2 linked regions of the Mytilus edulis genome follow. The protein of the gene in region 2 purifies or fractionates together with the protein of the main gene of each other region. This does not show direct contact. Links are inferred from orthologs where the notes say so. Each region holds a gene or a part of one and is shown on either strand. Other genes may lie near its edges.

The links.
Region 1: the proteins of vesicle-associated membrane protein 4-like (region 2) and vesicle transport through interaction with t-SNAREs homolog 1B-like purify together in Homo sapiens (affinity purification with mass spectrometry; 4 studies listed by BioGRID and IntAct, counting the BioPlex papers as one, with this or other methods). This does not show direct contact. The link is inferred for Mytilus edulis from reciprocal best matches to the Homo sapiens genes VAMP4 and VTI1B.

Annotation. Positions count from the first base shown.
Region 1 is NC_092346.1:5,321,229-5,328,824, forward strand, and holds the start of vesicle transport through interaction with t-SNAREs homolog 1B-like, read right to left. Parts: upstream 3,270-7,596; 5' UTR 3,234-3,269; coding exon 3,134-3,233; intron 1,434-3,133; coding exon 1,375-1,433; intron 502-1,374; coding exon 391-501; intron 1-390. UniProt on the Homo sapiens protein: V-SNARE that mediates vesicle transport pathways through interactions with t-SNAREs on the target membrane. These interactions are proposed to mediate aspects of the specificity of vesicle trafficking and to promote fusion of the lipid bilayers.
Region 2 is NC_092345.1:21,932,227-21,939,893, forward strand, and holds the start of vesicle-associated membrane protein 4-like, read left to right. Parts: upstream 1-4,623; 5' UTR 4,624-4,749; coding exon 4,750-4,815; intron 4,816-7,288; coding exon 7,289-7,335; intron 7,336-7,667. UniProt on the Homo sapiens protein: Involved in the pathway that functions to remove an inhibitor (probably synaptotagmin-4) of calcium-triggered exocytosis during the maturation of secretory granules.

The sequences.
Region 1 (7,596 bases), on a different chromosome or scaffold from region 2:
ATGAGATGCTCAGTTTGAGTTTCAGGGATTTTATGCATATGATATAATATTGTACGACATGTACATTGACTTTAGGGGAGGGTATTCTAGAGGGCCAGGAGGATTTTTTCTGACAGAATTTTCATTTACAACTTTGTCATTATTTCATTTTTTTTGCATGGCTATAAAACCACATGATATTTATTTTAATTTTTCTAAACCTGTTTGATTCTCTTTCCAGGCCACAAAATTCATCTTCAAAAATGTAATTTATAGTTTATTAAGTGACAATCTTGTGTCAAATTAAGTTTCTTTAACATTCTCAGGTACACCCCCACCATTATGTCTAACATCAAATTCTGTATCCTCACCAGGTATTATTTACTGTTATTACCATCAATTGGAACTTACCAGATTCTTTGTTATATTATCTAAGTCATGTCTGTAGTTACGTATTCTGGATATTTGTTGAGATCTGTAAGAAATAGGAGCCATCTTTGCTTCACTTTCCATTTCCTGTAACTGAAATGTAATACCAAAAATATGGATTAAACTTTGGTTTTATCTTTTACTCTGATGATTTAATCCACACCCATCTGAAATTTTAGAATATTTGATTTTTAGAATTTTTTGTAATAATTTTAGAAAAAATACTTCAGTTTATTAAAAAAAACTAGAACAGCCGGTTCCATTGAGTGTGTAGGCAAAGGTAATATCTTTGGTTAGCATGCTTGCTAGTTGAACTGTGAAGTCATTATTAGGTAAGGTATACTACACTCCTTTTGAAGTAGCCTAGTCCTACAGACAGATAGATTGTTAATCTTTCAGACTAGTCTAATTTTAAAGGAGGGTAGTTTACCTGACCAAATAATGACTTCACTGTTCAGCTGGCAAGCAAGCTAACCAAACATATTGACTTTGCCTACACACTCAATGGAATCGGCTGTAACTATGTTAATTATCCTTTTAAAATCATATACTATTTGGCTCATTGTTAAATGCCGTACGGTGACCTATAGTTTTTAATTTCTGTGTCATTTTGGTCTCTTGTGGAGAGTTGTCTCATTGGCAATCATACCACATCTTCTTTTTTATATATTTTTTTTTCTTGACAACAAACTACGGCAATATTTTCTGCTGTTTACATAAACTTTGCACAATTAATTCATGTACTATGTATTCATTTATTTTGGTCAACATTTGTGTTTTTCATTCATAAATATTTTGATGAAAAAAATATTTGTAGACTGTAAACATCAACATATTTACAAGTTGAACATTGAACTTTTGCTTTCTATATATTCAGTTTATTGATGGTGGCAGCAAAATGGTAGATGAAGTATTCACTGTAAACAGGAAATTATTGACAAGATATTTTAACCAGTTTACACTTACAATGAAGTTTGCTTCTTCAATATTTCTTTCTGCATGGCGAATGGCTGTTTTTTTCTCCTCTGTCAAAAAATAAGAACATGAGAAAAATAAAAATAATTGTCAAAACTATATTTAATCAATACAATATATATATATGCTATTATGTACAGATCGATTGTTCCAAAACATAATATTTTCCCGATTCAAATGCCAAATGAAATTTTATAATGATGATAAAACTTTAAAAAAAATTCTGTTGGTCAAATAAGTAATATAAAAACTTAAGAATAAATTACAGAAAGTATGTGATATCAATATTTGAAAAATAAATATAATTTTACAATTTATATTATTAAACATAAATCCTTATCATAGACACCATAAAAGTACATGTAATTGAAATGTAATTCAAAAGTAATTGAGCATTACATGCTTTTTTCATTGTAATTAATTAAATTACCATTACAAGTAATTGAAAAAATGCTCAATTACACATTACCTTCAATTACATGGAAAATTGTAATGCATTACACTTAATTACCATTACATTTTCAATTACCCCATCCCTGGATAAAAGACCTTATTTTAATGAAATTGATTGTTTGCTTCTTTTAATCTTTCTACAGGTAAGATATTATAAATAGATTTAACAGTAACTTCATTATATTTACTGTAAATTGTAAGGTGCATTGTGGGACGAGATTGTTATACACCTTATCGCTATTTGTCCACCATTACTGAACATTACACAGGTTTCCGTAAAATTTTGATGTCATGAAATAAGTTATATGGTTTGTCGCACGCTGGACTTTTTCTGCTGCGTTTTGTAGAAAAATAAGCAATGAAACACATCAACATTAATAGATGAAGTCACCATTAACAGTAGACGTGACGTCACGAACCCCCTTTGAAATTTACTAACCCCCTACGGATCCATAGGCCTAAGGGGTCACCAGGTGACGGCGTTATACCAATCACAATGTGCTAATTTACCTGTGGTGCGATAATACAAAATATCTGATGCCACAATGGAGAAGTGATTGTTGTATGACTTCAACAGGTCAAGCGAGATAGATTCTCAGGTCAGTGGGGAATAGCACCTGTACATATGATTTTAAAAGAAAACACATTTTGGATGACACAACTTTAATTTTGACATATTCGTGTGATGAGTCAACTGACTCTTTACGGATTATCCATGTAGATGTAGCGATAAGGTGTATTGTCCCCATACATACGTGTAGTCTTGCATAATTTTATATTTATTTTTTCCCTAGAACAATTAGGTTGTGGAATTTCTTGCTACACCAAGTAGCAAAGACTTAGAAGCATTTAAATTTGGTGCAAAATCACAAATACATTGCTAGATCAAAATCATCTATAATATATAAATAAAATATTTAAAAAAAAAACAAAAAAAACTTCTTTTTTTTTATATGTAAATATGTTCAGATTTAAATACTACTACCCCCTAGTATGTGCCTTTTTGTAATCTTCAACATATTGAAGTTAAGAAGTATTATGTAGACCGTAGTCCGAGATTACTCTGACGTCCAACGGCTGTTTTGCCAGACAAGCTGGGGCCGTGGGACTTGTCTGGCAAAACAGCCGTTGGACGTCAGAGTAATCTCGGACTATGTAGACCTTTGACAGTTTTGTGAACCCAACTCTGACTCAGTCTCGGACTTTACAACATATCAGAATGCAGTGATGTCTGCATTTAGTAGTCTCAGATAGATATTAGGAAATTGTAAAACAATAAGTAATATATATTTACAACCTCCCTCAAAATTTGGGATTTTCCCTTCGACTCTGTCTCTTATGCTATCCAAAACACTTGACAAATCGTCCTCGAGTGACTCAAACTTTTCAGAAGACATTTTGACATGACAGTCATGTGATCATTCTAAATACTGAAAAAATTCGGGATGGATATAAATAAATTAACAAGTGTGGACACAGATCAGTGTGGATAGTATGTTTAGATGTTTGACAGTGTTTTCTGACAATAAGAGTTCTTTGTTCTTGCCACAAGATTCTTTATTAAAATATGTTGCATAATAACGGCCTACCTGTACCAGACACTAACCATTTAGCAGCGTCGTTTATTGGTTTTGGATAGCTAGGAGAGGAACACATTAGATACATTTCCACAAGAATTAAATTTTGTATAGTAAGATCCTTGATTTTCATAGGCAGATCCAGGTGCCAGGGGTTGGGAGGGGGGGGGGGGGGGGGGGGGGGGCTACTCGGCCCTTTCGAGTGGAAAATATGGTTGATTATACAGGGAATCACAAATCATGACTGACCGTGGGAAACTTTTATGGCTGTCAGTGGTACATGTATTTTATTTCGTTTGAAATAGGGTTTTTCCCGTTTGCTATTTGTAGTTAATATTTACAGATGGGAACTAGTATAACTAGTTCGGATACTGGTTTTGTAACAGTATGTACTATTTATATGTTTGATGTTAGGTGCAGGAGGCACGAGGAAAGTTTTGGCGGTTTTTATGGGTGGGGTTTAAAGGTACTATATAAAGTTTGGGATTTAAATGTATTAGTATCGAAGGTGCTCGCAGTTACGTCGGATTGAAGTTGGTCACATAGGTATATGTGCAGTTGCTGCTATGTTTATTGTACGTACAGGCGTTGGAGGCATTAGCCGGGGGAAAAGAAACGATGCGAAAGAGGAACAATGTTATATGTCATGTGTTTATATAATGTTTCGATTGAAGAAATATGTACAATTCAGTAAAATAAAATATTGTATCGCAAGAGAAAATAAGATGTTACTGCGAGCAACTAATCCTATATCTGTGTTTGTCTTGTTTATAGCCTATTGAATTAGAAATTAAATACTTTAAATTCGGACGAGCAGGGCGAGGGAGAATTTAACTTATAAAAAGTTCTGGATCCGCCACTGATTTCTGCATGATGTGATTTGGATATGGGAGATGGTATCTAAGAACATGCATGCATATACATTGTACTATTTGTAAGGTTCCACAATGTATTTATGTTCCTTTGTCCACAAAAACTGAAAATTAGTAAAGGATCTTCTCAGTATCATTAGAATTTAAAGACGAAATTGATTCAGAAGACATTTAATGGTTTTGAGTAATGACAATGCCTGACATGATGAAATGGGCTAAATGAGGTCGAAAGTAAACCTTAGTTCTTCCTTCGAAAATGTCTTCTTCAAAGCCTGGTCAAAGGAAATAAATGAGTTATTTAAATAAACAGGAATCCGCTTGTATTTAGGCTACGCTCATGAACAAAGTGCCGAGAATCATCTTGCAGTATTAGCTGGTAAAAAAATACAAAACGGTTGAATGCATATTAAAATAAAATGTACAGATATGAGCAGGATCTTGATGTGGTCCTTCCTTTTTTTAGTTCTTTAATTTTTCAGCCTTTTTTCTAAACTAAACTAAACTAAACTAAACTAAACTAAACTAAACTAAACTAAACTAGGACTAGGTCCATTACTTTGTAATTTGTCATTTTCAATTTTAACATAAGCAGAAAACTTAACATTGGAAATTGCTAATTAATCCAGTCACTTGACCATGACCTAGGGACAGCGCCTCAAAATAGTCGTCAAACTTCATACAAACTATCGATCTATCACATAGAGTTCGGAGACAGTTTGATAGGAAGTTCCATCAATGCAGGTAAAGCAACTTCTATGTCTAGCCTTCTGAGACTTTCGTCGCAGGCGAGACAAAAATGATTAAGCTCATTATAGAAAGACAAATCAACAGGGCTGAATGACGAATTAACCCATGGCCATTTTAAGTGATCTTTCTTTCATCGAGAAAACTATTAGGATAGATCTATAGACAAGTTTAATAAATAGCAAAGATTACCAGCATCTGAGACTACTATAACTGTGTTATAGTAGTCTCAGCCAGCATAAAGATTTTTGCCTAATTAATGAAATTTCAAAAAGATATATATAGAAACTTTACATAAAATTATCAATTAACAAGACCAGATTTACAAACTAGTCAAATTTTACTGAAATCGTAGCCTTTTTATAGGAGTGACAATGATTTAATGATGATTTTTCTTACTCTTTTTGTGAATTTGGCAATACAATAAAGAAGATAGAGAGAAACTGTAAACAGAAAATAAATTATCAGCACTACATCAACATAAACGAAGATTTTTGTCATGTGTTCTTTTCCAGTCTACAATGTGCATTGTTGAGGATGCATATAGAGCTGTGTGAGCAACCATAGGCCCTTGGAGCCTCTTAAGTTGTCTTTTTGTCCAAAACCATCAGACATTGTCTTCTTCAATCTTGCACCCTACAAATCTTTGCTAAAAGGTTAGCAATCTGTCTTTGTGCTTAGACTAAGGAATATTGATTGATTGTTGTTTGCTTTACGTCCAGTGACAAATATTTCATGATTTTCCAACGTTTAAAAAATACATAGATGCAATAGTTAGGTCATGCAATTGAGCTCCTGCAATAGAGTGGGTAAGGAAATTTGAGACTTCACTGAAAATGAACTGTATTGGATAGGGACAGAAATTTAGCCACAGGGTATAAAGAAGTCAATGATTAAAATCACCATCTTTAAACTATATAATGGAAAATGTAAACACTTTTCCCTTCTTTCTCTGGATTTGTTTGGGTGTAAAACATCTAATGAGGCAGTTGTGCCATGCTTCTGACAACACAAACCCTTGGAAGTAAGAAGACTTGCATATGTTTGACAAATTTTCTAACAGAATCTCGTGCAGTTTTATGACAACCTCACAATCTGTAAATACTGTTATTTTCTACAAGTTATAAAAAAGGTTTTGATGTTCTGTATTTATAGCATTTAATTGTTAACATAAGGGAAAGGAGTAACGGCAACCCTTCTCAGCTAGACCAATGACACAGTAATACAAATTGTGCCCATTTTAGGAATCATAGCATAATGGAACAACAATATGCATCCATAGGATACCATGCCTTTTATATACTATCTATTCTCTTTATCTAGTGATTCTGAAAATGTGAGTAAATATCATAATTTTGCATATATTCTATAAAAAGTAACATCACAATAAACATGTGTACTGAATTTGTGTGACCAAAACATCAAGACAGACCAGAAAGAATAATATTATGTCCCTCTACTTTCATAGATGAGACCTAAAAAAAATCTAAGGATTAGTTGATGCAGGCTTGAGTTTTGAGCTAAGATGTTTAACTAGATTATCCTTTCCCTTCCCCTTTTAAAATTCCTATTAGATTTATATTTTTGGAATTTTGATACCAAATGTGTGAAATATGGTTAAGAAAATCATATAATAGAACTAAGCTTTCTCATTGACATTTAAATCCTTATTGACAGCCCTTTATTTTAATTAATTGTTGTTGTTAGTGTTTAATGCCACTTTCAACATATTTGGCTATTTTGTGGTAGTCAGGTTTTATTGAAGGAAGCCAGAGTGCAAGAATGGAATTAAACGCACCTGCCACCAGGTAGGGTGGCAACTCACAACCTCAATGTTGACAGGCCAGTGATAAAGTTGTTGATGTACTTAAACCACTAATGAACTGAAGCCACTCATTCACTTTGACATTTGAATGTGCAGCCATATCATCTTGAAAATGGGATGTTTACACTGGTGCCTCACACATTACTGTGTCACCCTCACAACAGTTCTTACTCACACTTCTCATCATTCAAGTCAACAAAATTAAATAGATCTATCAAATGGATTCATTGATATTTTGATCTTGTCCTATATACACAAGACTTATTAAAACTGGAAAGTATCAGCAAATCACCAGCGTGTTGTATTAGCATTCTTGTATTCTTTTCATCTGCATTTAACATAAAATTCTTGAAATCTCCTGATAAACTTGCACCAGTTCTAAGTCAGAAACATGGAGTCGATTTCACCTAAAAACTTACAACTAAGATTTGTCTTAGGTCATGAACAAATCAGTATACTTACGATCAATCTTAGTCGTAAGTTTTTTTGTGAAATCAACTCCACATGTTCAGTGGCTGTCGTTTGTTGTGGTTCATAAGTGTTTCCTGTTTCTCTTTTTTTATATAGATTAGACCGTTGCTTTTCCTGTTTGAATGGTTTTACGCTGTCATTTTAGGGGCCCTTTACTGCTTTCTGTTTGGTTGAGACAAGGCTCTGTGTTGAAGACCATAGTTTGCCCTATAATGGTTTCTTTTTACAAGAGTGCACACGCTGAAATGTCTCGCCTTCTATACTAATCATT
Region 2 (7,667 bases):
AAATTATTTGGTAATATTTTGGTATGGATGTGTTGTCTACCAATAGACTGTATTTACCTTGCTTATACTGATTACAAAATAATTCTTGTTAGTAGAAAAATAGCGCAATCTAGTTCATCATGAATATTCTAAACTATGATTTTCTTTGATATAAATACATCAACAAAGTTGGAAAACCTAAATGAAATCTATATCAAAAGTTAATATCAGCAAGGTCTTCGAGGAGTGAGATAATGAGTGTTTATAACCTATTTCTATGCCCTTGACCGTCTGTATGTACGTACGTATGTCCAAAAATTGGTTTCTGTTCTCTAACTTGAGTTTGCCTCAACCAAATATTATGAAACTTATACACAATGCTAATAACCTCAAAACACAGATCAAGTATCAATTTTGGTGGCGTCACTTTCTCCGTTCTAGAGTTCTGCCCCTTTCTTTATAAATGGAAAAATTGCTTAATTTTTGGAAAGATTGGAACTTGTTCTAAATCTTTCCTTAGGCACTGGCCTTCCTAACAACACAACAGGTTAGCTACTATTACTGCATGTATTCACTCTGAAATATAGTTCCCTATAGTTCTCATGTATTTGCACATAATACACATATAAACTGTGAAAAATGGGTATATTTTTGGAGCAGTTCATTCAATAATGTATGTAATTAAGGTGTGTTGATGTGCAGGCTTGTTTTAAGCATTTTGATTAGGTAATTGAGTATTGATACAATACTAGTATGATTGACAACTGTCATTATCACCAAACAATCAGGGACAAGGTGAACCGTAAATTACAATGCCCCACCTAAACTGTCAATCAAATTGACCACATTACATCAGTGTTACAAAATTGTATAGGCCCAATAAACATCTCAATACACAAATGTATATATTAAATGTTTGATATATAAGGATGATAGATTTATTTATTGCCTATTACTTTTGATCTACATTACATAAAGTGATTCTGTAAATTATGTCTGAAAGATAAATGATTAATTAAGGATTAATTAAGGATTAACACGATCTTTAAAAAAAAATGAAATATAAATATAAATATGAATATATAAAAGGTATTCAAGTTAGGCCTTTAATTTACTTGATAAATTTCCAATAATCATCTGTAATAAATCAACAATTTAGGTTAGTTCACTTTTTTTTTTATCAGAAATTGGCTTGATGAACAGTTTTAAAATTTTAAAACTTTTATTTATAACAAACCATTTTTTAGCTCACCTGGCCCGAAGGGCCAAGTGAGCTTTTCCCATCACTTTGCGTCCGGCGTCCGTCGTCCTGCGTCCGTCGTCGTTAACTTTTACAAAAATCTTCTCCTCTGAAACTACTGGGCCAAATCAAACCAAACTTGGCCACAATCATCATTGGGGTATCTAGTTTAAAAAATGTGTGGCGTGACCCGGTCAACCAACCAAGATGGCCACCACGGCTAAAAATAGAACATAGGGGTAAAATGCAGTTTTTGGCTTATAACTCAAAAACCAAAGCATTTAGAGCAAATCTGACATGGGGTAAAAATGTTTATCAGGTCAAGATCTATCTGCCCTGAAATTTTCAGATGAATCGGTCAATCGGTTGTTGGGTTGCTGCCCCTGAATTGGTAATTTTGAAGAAATTTTGCTGTTTTTGGTTATTATCTTGAATATTATTATAGTTAAAGATAAACTGTAAACAGCAATAATGTTCAGCAAAGTAAGATCTACAAATAAGTCAACATGACCAAAATGGTCAGTTGACCCGTTTAGGAGTTATTGCCCTTTATAGTCAATTTTTAACCATTTTTCGTAAATTAAAGTAATCTTTTACAAAAATCTTCTCCTCTGAAACTACTTGGCCAAATTAATCCAAACTTGGCCACAATCATCTTTGGGGTATCTAGTTTAAAAAATGTGTGGCGTGACCTGGTCAACCTACCAAGATGGCCGCCACCGCTAAAAATAGAACATAGGGGTAAAATGCAGTTTTTGGCTTATAACTCAAAAACCAAAGCATTTTGAGGAAATCTGACTGGGGATAAAAATGTTTATCAGGTCAAGAACTATCTGCCCTGAAATTTTCAGATGAATCGGTCAATCGGTTGTTGGGTTGCTGCCCCTGATTTGGTAATTTTGAAGAAATTTTTCTGTTTTTGGTTATTATCTTGAATATTATTATAGTTAGAGATAAACTGTAAACAGCAATAATGTTCAGCAAAGTAAGATCTACAAATAAGTCATCATGACCTAAATGGTCAATTGACCCCTTAAGGAGTTATTGCCCTTTATAGTCAATTTTTAACAATTTTCATTAATTTGGTAAATTTATGTAAATTTTTACCAAATAAAGTTCTCTGTTACTAATGGGCAAAGTTCATGATAGATATAATTGTAAGAAGCAAAATCGTTCAGTAAAGTAAGAACTTCAAACACATCACCATCACCAAAATACAATTTTGTCATGAATCCATTTGTGTCCTTTGTTTAATATGCACATAGACCAAGGTGAGCGACACAGGCTCTTTAGAGCCTCTAGTTATTAATTTATTCCCCATCAATCATTATACATGTCTATTTTAGTCATTTGAATTTTTATAAGAAGTGGATATATATTTTTGCTATCAAGAAAAATCTGCATTTCAATAAAATAAGTTTTTTAATTTGTTTACTTTGAAAAACTACATTTTCAATGCCCTGTGCTGAATAAATACTTTATAAATTGATCAAAAGGCACTCTACAACTTTTAATCTTTTAAAAATGTCATATAACCTATGCGTCAACTTACAAAATGCCCCAAAATGAAATTATTAGATTATATTTGTTGACACTTTAAATTTCAGTTGTTGGTCCTTAAAACATGTAAAAAACAGGCAACATTATTTGGATAAGATATTAACTGCAGTTTCAATAAAATTGTGCAAATTTAGAGACCCATATTATTTTATTTGAGCTCATTTTATCTTCATACTGGAAAAGCACTTTTATTCCTGCTAGAACCCTGCTGTTAATGCAATTTTCAGCAATACTGTTTTATTAATGTTCTTTTGTCCCCACCATACCTTTATATGAAATTGTTCAAACTACTCTTCCAATCTTTCCACAGGTGTTATCTAGCACTTTGATTAGTTTCCATTCTCTAACTTAAGTTTGCCTCGACCAAATGTTATGAAACTTATGCACAATGCTCATTACCACAAAACTCAGATCAAGTTTGAATTTTTGTAGAGTCAGTTTAACCGTTCTAGAGTGATGCCCCTTTATGAATTAAAAATTTGCTTAATTTTTAGTTTCCGTTCTCTATTAAATTAAGGTTTGCCTTAACCAAATGTTATGAAACTTATACACAATGCTTATTACCACAAAACGCAGATCAAGTTAGAATTTGGTAGCATCACTCAAATGGTTCAAGAGTTTTGCTCCTTTAAAAGTGGAAAATTGCAAAATTTTGAGTTTCCGTTCTCGAACTTTAAGTTTGCCTCAACCAAATATTATCAAACTTGTACACAAATAAGTTGGGTCACTATAACCATTATTGAATTATGCCCTTTATAAATGGAAAAAAATGCAAAATGTTTAGTTTCTGTTCTCTAACAAGTTGCCTCAAGCAAATGTTATGAAACTTGTACACAATGCTTATAACCACATAAACCTAAGTTTGCCTCAGCAAAACATTATGAAACCTATACACACTACTTATTACCACAAAACTCAGATCAAGTGCAATATGGGTCACTTTTATTGTTCCTGATTTATATCCCTTTATAATGTTGTATGCAAGCTGGGGCATTTATTAAAGAAGTTAAGCTACTGGGAAATTGATATATGGAAAATTGCAGTGAAAACCATTGCTTTTAGGATATTTAATTAAAAAAAATTAGGTTACCTCCTCCCCCCAAAAAAAGATAACTAAAATAATTGGGCGGTTTACCAGTCTAGCATGAACATCATGCCACAAAATGAACTCCAGTATAGAAGGCAATATTATATTGGGATAGGAAATGTGATTTATCTTATTTTCAAGATGGCAGAACTGGCTATTCTATATAATATACAATGAACATTGTATCACACAACAGTATTATACAAAGTGCACATCATACCACAAAATGAACATTATATTACAGAGTAAACATCATACAACAAAGTGAACATCATGTCACAAAATGAACATACAAAGTGAACATCATGCCATAAAATGAACATTGTTTCACTTAATAAACATGTCACTAAATGAAGATCATGTCACAAAATGAATATTACATCACAAAATAAACATTTAATCTCAAAATGAACATCATACAACAAAATGAATGCAATGCCACAAAATGAACATTCAAAGTGAACATAACACAAAATGAACATTAAATAAAAAATGACCATATATATCACAAAATGAACAATATATCACAAAATGAACATCATTTCACAAATGAACATAATGCCTCCAAAATGAACATTTAAAAATAAAAAATAAACACTATACTATATACTATCCCATAGCGAGTGTGTCTTAACCCTTTGATTTTACAGACAAACAATTATAGTATTTGTCTCGATAAATCTGATCGGTGATGGGCGTGATGATGATGAGCCAGATTTTGCCGTACGCCGGATATACTGATTGTTACAAGTAAGTGTAGCCTCATTATTCACACGTTTCCGGTTTGATCACAACAAAACTGACATCTGACATGTATTTCGAAAAACCTCTGTAAATCACCACAGGACTCTGTCATTTGATAAAAAGTCAACAATTTTATAAAATGCCACCAAAGTTCGTCAGACAACATGACAATATGGATTCTAACCGAGCCAGAAGCGCTGAAACGGTATTGTACATATAGCATCATCCAAGTCCAAAATGACTTTTTTTTTATGTCTGTTGTCATCTATCAGAAGAAAATAAAGCACTTTTCACTGTTTAAAACATTTTGAGTGTTGCACTTCGCCCTTCAACATTAGAAAACAATCAATCATGCATAAGACGGTCATCAAAATAACAATGTGTGACAGATCAAATGCAAGAAACCAATGTCAGGCAATGAGCACATGCACATTGTTTGTTTATATTTTTGCATAAATCCTTGTCTTGCTTTTTTTAGATCACTTTTATGTGTACAGTTCTTGCCAGGTTGTCTAATCACCTTCAAAAATGAGCTAAAAAACATCAAACCATTCAATAGAAAAAAATTAAGGCCTAATTTATAACAAAACCATTGATCATGTTGATGAAAAAAAACCAAATATTACAGACAAGAACCAATGAAAACCACTGAACTGCAGGGTCCTGACTTGGGACAAGCACATACATTTGTCAATAATGTGGCAGGTTTATTTATGTACATTGTAAATAATCTTTAACATATGCTGTTTGGCAACAAGGGTTATGGTTATTTTTCGAAAAAAATAATTCTGATACCCAATATGAAATGTATGATGAAAAATAATTATCTGGCCAAGCAGATGACAAAAAAAGTATTCTGAATCCCCCATACCTTACAGTATTAAAAATTGAAAAAAATTATTCGATTGATAGCTTGGAAAAGCTAGAAAAATAATTTTGAGCTTTGTAGATAAAAAAAAAATAACACCTCCTCTCCCCACCAACCTGAAGTTAAATGGTTGCTTATTTAGTCCTTAGTATGGGGTTTTGTGGACTTTTTAAAGTTAACTTTGCACTTAGATCTTATTTAAGGAATTTCCAATGATGTAGCCATAAAAATATCATTTAAAGCTTAACATCTAAGTATAATGGCCACCTGTCACACACTAATGATTTAATCAATAATTTCTCCACCTGACTCCAATCTTACCAGGTTTACATTGAACATCTAGTTCTATATACATATGTATATGTTTCTTCTCTATCTGAGTAAATGTCTAAAAATAAAAATCATCTAAGAATTTTAAGATGATTGATTGCTGGTTGCTTTATGTACAGTAGCAAATATTTCATGCTTTTCAAGAAGAGGAGAGGAAGGATTTTAAGATTGTAGACTTATGATTTAGTAAGACAGAATCTGAAATTGATAAAAAATGTGCCAGTCTATTTAAGTCAGTTTGGGAGCACCTCATCAAATAAGGAAGCCTTTTAAACAGATAACAGCCATACAGCATGAACAAAGACTTATATATTTTTTGTATTTACCACCAATTAAGTTACTGAACTAGTGACTTACAAATTTTTCCAATTGTGTGAAATTTTTTTCCAATTGTATGACATATGTTCAAGAATCTTTCATTTCTGTGTTCTTTAATTTTTAAGGTAGTTTTTCTCTATTAGTTATCTTTCTTAATTAGCACCCTCTGTTTCTCTAGATCTATATTATTTATGTTTTTTGACAATTTTTCTGTAGATTTGGTCCATTATTCTCTATTCTGTAAACTCCATCCAGAACCTCATGTGTAGATAATTATATATTGGTTGTGGAAACAACATGACAAACACATTGCTTATAGATAATACACATGATACAGAAAGCAAAAAAAGAAAGTTGAAAATTGTCATAGCACTATTTACCAGTCAATTCTGCGAACAAAATAATGTAAAATTGTCGCCCAGCACTGAAATTAATTTAGTGAGAAAAAAAATCAAGGTGTAATGAAGTAAAATGATACATTTCTAGTATAACCTACTGTGGATTCAGTAATTTTCATGGCTGTAGTAAAATTTGCATTTTCATTGATATTTGATTCAATGTTTAGCCAAAGTCTACATACAGACCTATATAAAATTTGAACTTCGTAGGACTTCAAATTCCATTGTTTACTTAAACCCAAAAAATCAACAAAATTAATAAATAAAAGACAATATTTATTATCACAAACACATTTACATTAACTGGTTATGGCATACAGTATTGAGACAATAAACTAAATTAATATCCTATCAATAAAAATGAATCCACTGTATATTAAGGGGGGGGGGGGGTGTCTCATCACGATTCACAAGTTGATTTTTTTGTCAATCACGATTCACAGAAAATAAATTTCCATGATCACGGATCAAGAAAATATTAAAAAAAAAATGTGTAGAAAATCGCATCACGATAGCGAAAGTGTGCCGATCACGAAGAAGGAAAATAACCCATCAGACCCCTCACCAATTAGTAACCTGTGACAAAATTCTTACATATTTCAGCCTTATTAGACATATATATGGTTGAGTTACCTGATAATCCAACAGCTTGGTTTGTTGTCTTGTGTTTCTTCAAAGCAAGTCAGTCCTCATTTGGACCACACTTTTACTTTACTTCTACACAACATGTATATGTGTAATATATACCATTATTTATTTTGCAGAGAGCACTTCTTGATGGAAATTCAGATGAAGAAGATTTCTTCTTGAAGTGAGTTTTTTCCTGTAGCATTTACATGATGAGTAGCAATAGCGTAAAGTATAAAATATATTGCATAGCATTGCAATCTCTTCTGGGTTCCTTTTGCTAGTTTAACCCCTATTGCATCAAAGGTATAACCTCATCTTGTTAATAAAAACAAATGAGCAATTGTTGCTTATTATAGAATTACTGTAGTCCTATAGCATGTAAAGTAAGAAGTAAAAATAAACAAGCTTAGTTTAAAGTATTTGATAATTTATTTTCTTTATGTATCTCACTGGTAAATTCTAATGTCTCAAAATATTGTTATACATGCATGTATGTGCATTTTCATTCTGGGA